Linked DNA regions of Schizosaccharomyces pombe. The gene in region 2 interacts genetically with the main gene of each other region. Each region holds a gene or a part of one and is shown on either strand. Other genes may lie near its edges.

Region 1 (3,757 bases), on a different chromosome or scaffold from region 2:
TTAAATCGGAAAAAGTCTCTAAATCTCTATTAAATGGAGCATAGTTAGAAATTTCTAGTTTAGTTAAATCGTTCGTCAATGATTCAGATATATCAGTCTCAGACGGAAGAGCTGAAATATTCGGATTTACATGACGAATTTTATTTGAAAGAGGATATAGTTGCAGCGATTTTTCTTCGCAAGAATGTTTTTTTTCAGACATTAAAAGCCCATTCTTCCTAGATAGGGCTCAACTTTCTTCGAAATATACAAAATTCCAAAAACGGCTTCGATAGGATGAAGTCAGGTACTGACGCATATAAAAGGTTAGGATAGGTATTCTAAAAATGCTTATTGACTAAGACTGCCACATTGATTGACAGTTTAAAAAAAAAAAGAAAAATAATGAAAACTAAGCATTACATTTCATGGATTTCAGCTATCACCATATAGACCAGCTGCACTAGAGTCGTCCGAAGAGGGAGAACTATCTTTTCCATAGATATCTGAGTCTTCTGGTAATTCTTTAGATTCCTCTTCATTTTCTTCTTTTCTCTGGCTTTTAAATAATGATGTTTCTTCTTCTTCTTGGGAATAGGGTCCACTGGCAGGAGGAGGAAGAGGAGAGAGATTGTCTTCAGATGGATTTTCGACAATATTGGAAGTATATGGTACGCTGTTAATGCTTGGAGAGTAAGAATCTACTTGAGGAGAATAAGCATCATCACTGTTTGGAGAACTAGACGGAGGTGATGTTGTTTCTACATTATGTTTGCCAGCAGTAGAACTTTTATCTCCAAAACCTGCATCGGTCAAGGTAGAGGTAGCTGTTGTACTTTCCTTATTCTCTAAATTAGAAATTATGGATTCAACAGATTTTAGGCTCTCTTCTTCCTCTGAAAGTAGCTTTTTTTGTTCTTCTATAAGCGATTCCAAGGAAGTAATGAGTGTGGATCGGGATTCGATGCAAGCCTGATAATTACCTTTACATGATTCAGAGGCTTTATTTAGTTGCTTTTTATAATTATCGAGTAGTTCAGAATAATCTGATTGTTTCTCCAAGTATGATTTATACAATGCATCTACCACAGTTTTGGTAGAGTGAGCAGATTTTGCGTATAAACTAGTTTGTGTCATTAAACGAGTGTAAGGTGCCTATGCAATTAGTAAAGTTCTGATATTTTATTTGAATTGCGGCATACCCATTCCGGAGGGCCAACGGGGTAATAGTTAGAATGGCCACTGTTCTCGGCATTATTAAACCTTTCCTGCAAGGATAAAAGTATCTCCTTAGAAAATATGCCGCGTTGACACCAAACGTCAAAAACGTATTTGATTTTTGTTTTAATGGAAGCAGGAACTGACGCGTACGCGTCAGCTACAGAGTTTACGACATACTATGCAAATATTATTAGAATCTAAACCATATAGGAGATGTTCCAAGCTCATAATGATAGTAACTTACTGGAGAAACGGCATCAATATATTCAGATATTTTTTTGACCCGGGATTGTTGAACGACTTCGTTGAGCAGGTAAAGCAATAAAAGCTTTTTGTTGGAAGAAGCTGGTTAAATTAGTTAGACAATCGAACAAATTCCTAAAGGAGTCATACATTCATACAAAGCTTCCAGCCATATTTGGACAATTTCATCAGCATAACGCTTGTGAAACATAACCCAATGCGCTATTCCCGTTATACTTTCTTGTGTTTCATTTAGAGTAGCCAACTTTGAAGAAACAGTGTCTGGAGTCAAAGCCATCTTGTTTTATGCTGATGGTGAGTTTCTTACGACACACTGCTGTTAGCATCGCAAACGAAATCATAAGCATAAGTAATAAATACTTCTTGTATAATATCAATGTTTTACATTATAGCCTATACTTAAAATGATTTTGAAACAACAGATTAATTAGTTTGGGTAGAGCAAAAATCTTCGTCTCATTTGTAAAGATGGAAAAGAACATTTATTATTCTCAAACTACCCAGTTTTCTCCAAGATTCCCTCTTAAATATTAGGTATATAAAATACATTATTCGTTTTCTCATGATTTTGTTTAGTCTCAGCAGGTCATCTTAGCTAACGGCTATCACTCACTGTAACATTTACAGTACGAGTTTTGGTAAGAATGCTAGACGAAATCTTGTGATGTTATATGTTGGGGATTATGAAAAGAAACTATTCGGCGTGTTGAGAAATGTGTACGGAGTGCAAATGTGTGTTTTAATGACTTGTCTGAAGCAGGAATTACTATATACTACTCACCGCATTGAGACTTTGTTTTTGCTTCCCTTGTATTACTATAAACTATGGCATATACTTACGTAAAAAATTATATAATAAACTAATTGTTCGTTTGAAATCGTATTTATTTGTCAACCGGGCAGGCAAAGCAGTAAAGATGTTCTGAAATTGAACGATAATACGAGTTTCAAAAAAAATAAAAAAATAAATGAATAAAGTAAAATAAATTAACTCCTAAGAACAAAGTTAAAACGGGATGACTAGTAGTAAGCAAAATTGTAAATAAAAAGTGCCGTAAGAATGTCAACGTATAAAACTAATGTTCATTTTCTGCCAATGATAGTCATTTCACCTTTCATAGTAGTTATTTCAACTTAATGGATGCAATCTCATTCTGCGTAGCGTCAAACTCAGAATTCATGTCGTTTCGCCAACACTCTATACCAGAAATATATCATTGAAGGACTTTTCAAGTCTTGTATTTGCTCATTCATCTATTCAACAATATAACCCATATATTAGAATACCAATCTCAATTGCTACTTATATATTACTTGCGAATTACAATATAATAGATCACTAGGAAAACACCGTAGTTCTACGTATCGTTAAATTAAATACTTGCGTAGCTAACATTATATCCTCTTAACGCATTTGTTGTAGCTATGGGTTATATTATTTACAATTAATAGCTTGAATGAGTAATATACCTTTTCTTTAAATATTTCGTGATTATTTAGAGCTGTTGAGAATCCCTTAAGAGGAATACAATAAAGCAGGATAAAGAAATGTTTTTCTATTAACTTTGTTATGCATGTTTGCAATCGAAGTTTGTTTTTAAACAAATACTCCTCTATTCAATAAATCTAACTTTGTAATAAGTTACCTGCAAATAAGCCATTTTTCTTTTATTTTACAGATAAAGCCCATTTTCATTATCTGTATCACGTACTCCCAGTGTGAAGTTACTTAGGTTACCTTGTTTCTTAATCCATCAAAAACTCTTTTCTTTGTCCTTAGCATTCTTTGTTTAAAGTTGTATATAAGGGGAACTTGAGAGATTTGAATTTACTTACAACACATATATTAAATATTGCTTTCAACACACGTTTGTACTTTTATTTTCCAAGATTTCCCTTTCTGAGAAATATTTGTCAATTAGTAAACATATAAGGCAGGCTACAAAAGATATCATTTGTATAGTTATAGTGAATTGAAATTTTATCGTTAAAAAGAATACTGCGGTTTATTGCAACTGGTTTTGTATAAATAATAAGGATGATGTCGAACGAGAATTTTGATAATGACTACAATCTGCCACCACCAAATGATTCTGCGGAAGATTTAAAAATTTTCATTGAAAGATACGAGAGATCTGTAGATTCTACATTGTTAGAAATTGACGAAAACAAAAGAGAAGCACTTGAAAAAAATATATTGAGGAATGAGATCGTAAAATGAAATATGAAATTGAATGCAATGAAAGGCTACAAGGATGGAAAAAGTTAGCGATTGAAAGGGAAATTTCTGAAG
Region 2 (3,757 bases):
GATGGACTAAGAGCACTTTCTTCTCTTTCTTGAAATGCCTGAATTTCCGTGGCAGCAATAGGCTCAATAATTGAGGAAGCTTCCCATGTGCAAAAATCATATAACAGCTGCTTCCATTTCACTAAGTATTCAACTGAGCCATCGGAGTTTAAGTGTTTGGCAACAATTCTGTCTACCTGCTTATATTCCTCGTAATTTTCACGCTTTCTCTCTTTTTCAATATCCATTGCTTCAATGTCTTCACGCGTAGTGGTCGGATCTTCTCGAATTTCTCGATCAAGAAGTATGACTTGCTTAATGTGATTGTCGACCTTTTTAGATCCTCTGATCATAGAAATGTTATTGTAAGGTTCCCATGTACAATGAAGATGAGAAAAATTAACCCATTTAATTAAAAACTCATAATCTTCAGAAGGTGTAGAGCCATCGTGTCCTTCAATAAGTCTATGATCTAAAACGACATCTATAGCTCGTGTATCTTCAGGTTCTTCAGAAACTTCAGTTGCGTACTCATACATCTCTTCTTCCTCTTCTTCTTCAAACGATTCAAAATACGCGTCTTCGTTATAGTTAACACCTTTACTATTTCTAGAAGAAAATCGAATTTCATCTTGAACGTAGGTGTTTGATTTTTTTTGCCGAGATCGCTTTTTGGGAGTTCCGCCATAAGAACTATCATCTGACTCACTTTCCTCAGAGGTGACAGATTCAGCTTCATCGTCTAAATCGCGAATTGTTCGATGACGAGAAAAAGATGAACCATTTCTAGTACCTTTACGATGCTTGGATGGGAACACATCTTCTTGATCATCAGTGTCTACATATCTTCCTGGATTACTACGAGTGCGACCCTATAATGATTAGCATCTAAGTAAGTTTCATAATGAATAAAATAATGTGAGACATACAGAACGTCGAAGACCGTAAAGCTCTGGGTCGAGCCATTCAGTAGATTGTAATTTGCGCTTGGAGGCTACGCCGCTATTCGAAGGGGATTCGGACATTTCCTGCTTAAGATTAGGGGTTTCAGTTTGAACGTGATCCAGCTGCTCAATAGCCTTAGATGATGACAAAGCAAGTGCTATAGCACTTGTACTCATATCAACTAAAACAGAAGTTAGAACCAATTTCGCAAATTTCTTATTGCAAAACTTTTCCGAAATTGAAATGCTGAATAATTGTGAAATATGTAATAGGCTTCCATCCAACTTCTAGTTAACTGAGAACTGCCAGATGCCACTTTAAATGTGAATATTTATAACTCTTGACTAACGACTATATTTAGACGAGATCCGAACAGATTTAAATAAAGAACACATATTAACTCCCGTATCTTTTCGATAGGAAGCACTATATCGTTCATTTTCGAAGAAAGAGCAATTTTGAATAAAAGGTCGAATGCCACCAAAAAGATTGTATCACAAGAGAAACAAGCAAAACATAATAAGAAAGAAGGTTTTTAAAAAAAGAGAGCTACATTCAGTGCATTGAACAATGTAGGTTTAACAAAAAAATGCGACACGTGGATCATTCACATATTCAGCGTCAAATTCGGAAAACGAACTGTGGCTGCAACAAAATTTAATAAAAATTTACTTACGCGTTATTAAATAGAACGCTTATAGCAGTATTTTGCTATTTTAATAGCAACTTGCTAGTTTTGTTACAAAAACAATTTTTGAGGTACTGGTGGTAGAGGTTCAAATAGCTACAGGCTGTATCCGCTACTAAAGGTAATCAAACTGTATGAATACAAAAAGCGAGTTGAGAGAACATTAAAATGCATGTGTATTAAACGCACTAACAATTAAATTTCTAACTTGAATACTAACGAATTTCACCTTCTTCACTAGATTCTGCATCATCAACAATATTTTTAACAGCCGGTTGTGTAGCGGTAACATGAGAGATTGAATTTTCCTGTACATCCTGCATCGTATTAATTTCATTCCTATTACTTTTTGACGCTAAGTCAGCAGAATATTCCAACCTTCCATCTTCGTATCCGCTATGTGGTCGGGCACTATTCGCTAAATAACTTTCATCTTTACCGACATCATAATAACCTCTTCTGTTTTGGTATTGCTTTTCCAATTCCCGTTTTTCTCGAAGCCGTCTTATATATTTGTCAAAAGCAGCCATCCTGTGTTCCTCGGAATGGAGCGCAGCAAATTCCGGTAGAATAGAAATTAAAGGTCTAATTTCATCGTAAGAAGCATCGGCAGAAATTGGAGGTTTAAGGTATTTAATGGCACTTCTGAGATTATCAATTTTCCTTCGAATGCGTCGTTCATCAGCACGCTTTTCCTCAGCTTTTTTGTGGATCGCTTTATCACGTAATCGATTAACAACTTCTTCAATAAGGTCTTCAGTTACTGCCTCACTTTCCTCTCGATCTTTAAGCTTTTCTGATAACCTTGCTATAATTTCAGGAATATTAGATGTGTCATCCACAGATATTTGCAATACTTCAAGACAGTCCAAAACCAAATTACGCTTTTCCCGATACATATTCTCCAAATCAACGATCGTATCCCAAAATAAATCTAATGGTGTAGAGCCAGATTGCCCTAGTAAGTTAAGATATCTTGGATCATCCTTGATTATGGGATATAATTCTTTCCACTTCGTGCGTAATGTAATCTTCTTTTGCACGCGTAAGTCTTGTAATAGCGCACGAAAGGCATCACGATTTTTCCTTTCTATACGATGCTTTTCTTTCTTCTGCTTTTGTTTGTCAAGAATATATTCGCGTTCCAAATGCTTAACATGATCTTCAAATGCTACAAGAGCATCTAATTTAGAAAGATATTTCATATTTGAATTCCTTGTATACCTTGGATCTTGATCAAATTTTGCTTGCGCAACGCTCCAGCGGGTGTAAGGCTCGAAATTCATGTTTCGCAAAAGCGAACAAAAATCATCCAATGCTTCCTTTCTGCGATCCTTTTCCAACTGCTTTTCATCCTCTAAAAGCTTTTGCTTATATTCAAAAAATAGTTGTTGTTGTTCAGTTTCAGAAGAAGTAGCGTTAAAAGCAGGATGAGAAGAAAATTCATTCTTCACAGTACGCCACAAAGTATAAGAATGAATTTTATCACTACTTTTTAGCATCTCAATAAACTCCTTCCTAATCTTAGTTACTCGGTTCTTTTCTGCATCACTTTGATCGGTCAAATAGTTTAAGATGTACGCATCGAAAGCACATTTCCGATGCCAAGGATCCTTCATGACATAATAGCCCTTAGCATCACAAAGCTCTCGGACAGTCTGCTCCCAAGTCCAGCTTGGGTTGACATTATGAGAGTCTAAAAATTTAAAGAAAGCGCGCTCTGCGGCTTCATAGGTATCATAGTTTTCGTGCTGATAATCATTAGAACGTTTTTGGCGCTTATCCTTTTGTTGAACAAAGTTTATAGTTCGTTTATGACTGCCTTGTGAAATTTGTTGGCTTTGATCTTTAGCTGGTTGACTTGAAGGAGCAGCAACATCCGGACCATGCCGTTGAATGCTTTGAACAGCTGGCTTGTTGTCATTGCTTTTGATTTTAGACGACAAAGCCTTTTTTTGCTGTTCCGGTTCATCAACAAGGGCAGCTTTATATTCATCAGGAATATCCCACACTGATTCACGGGTATTGACATTATACCAATACTTTTTGCCATCAGCGGTGGCATATTCTTTCCAAGCTAGTTTCGAAAGCTTTTTTTCAAAGTCATTCATTAACTCCTCTGGTTTTTCCCAAACACTTTTGCGC

What was found. Genes that interact genetically often act in the same process or in processes that back each other up.
Region 1: mutations in hrp3 (region 2) and rhn1 together harm fitness more than expected from each alone (negative genetic interaction), as found in Schizosaccharomyces pombe (2 studies listed by BioGRID).

Annotation. Positions count from the first base shown.
Region 1 is NC_003423.3:1,033,522-1,037,278, reverse strand, and holds rhn1 (RNA polymerase II transcription termination factor), read right to left. Parts: upstream 1,758-3,757; 5' UTR 1,742-1,757; coding exon 1,594-1,741; exon of another isoform or gene 1,546-1,593; coding exon 1,445-1,545; exon of another isoform or gene 1,377-1,444; coding exon 1,182-1,376; intron 1,135-1,181; coding exon 415-1,134; downstream 1-414. Other genes in the region: serine/threonine protein kinase Ppk27, read right to left, coding at 1-202.
Region 2 is NC_003424.3:5,375,770-5,379,526, reverse strand, and holds the start of hrp3 (CHD family chromatin remodeller Hrp3), read right to left. Parts: upstream 1,704-3,757; 5' UTR 1,601-1,703; exon of another isoform or gene 1,112-1,600; intron 1,106-1,111; 5' UTR 1,101-1,105; coding exon 909-1,100; intron 852-908; coding exon 1-851. Other genes in the region: U1 snRNP-associated protein Prp40, read right to left, coding at 1,828-3,757.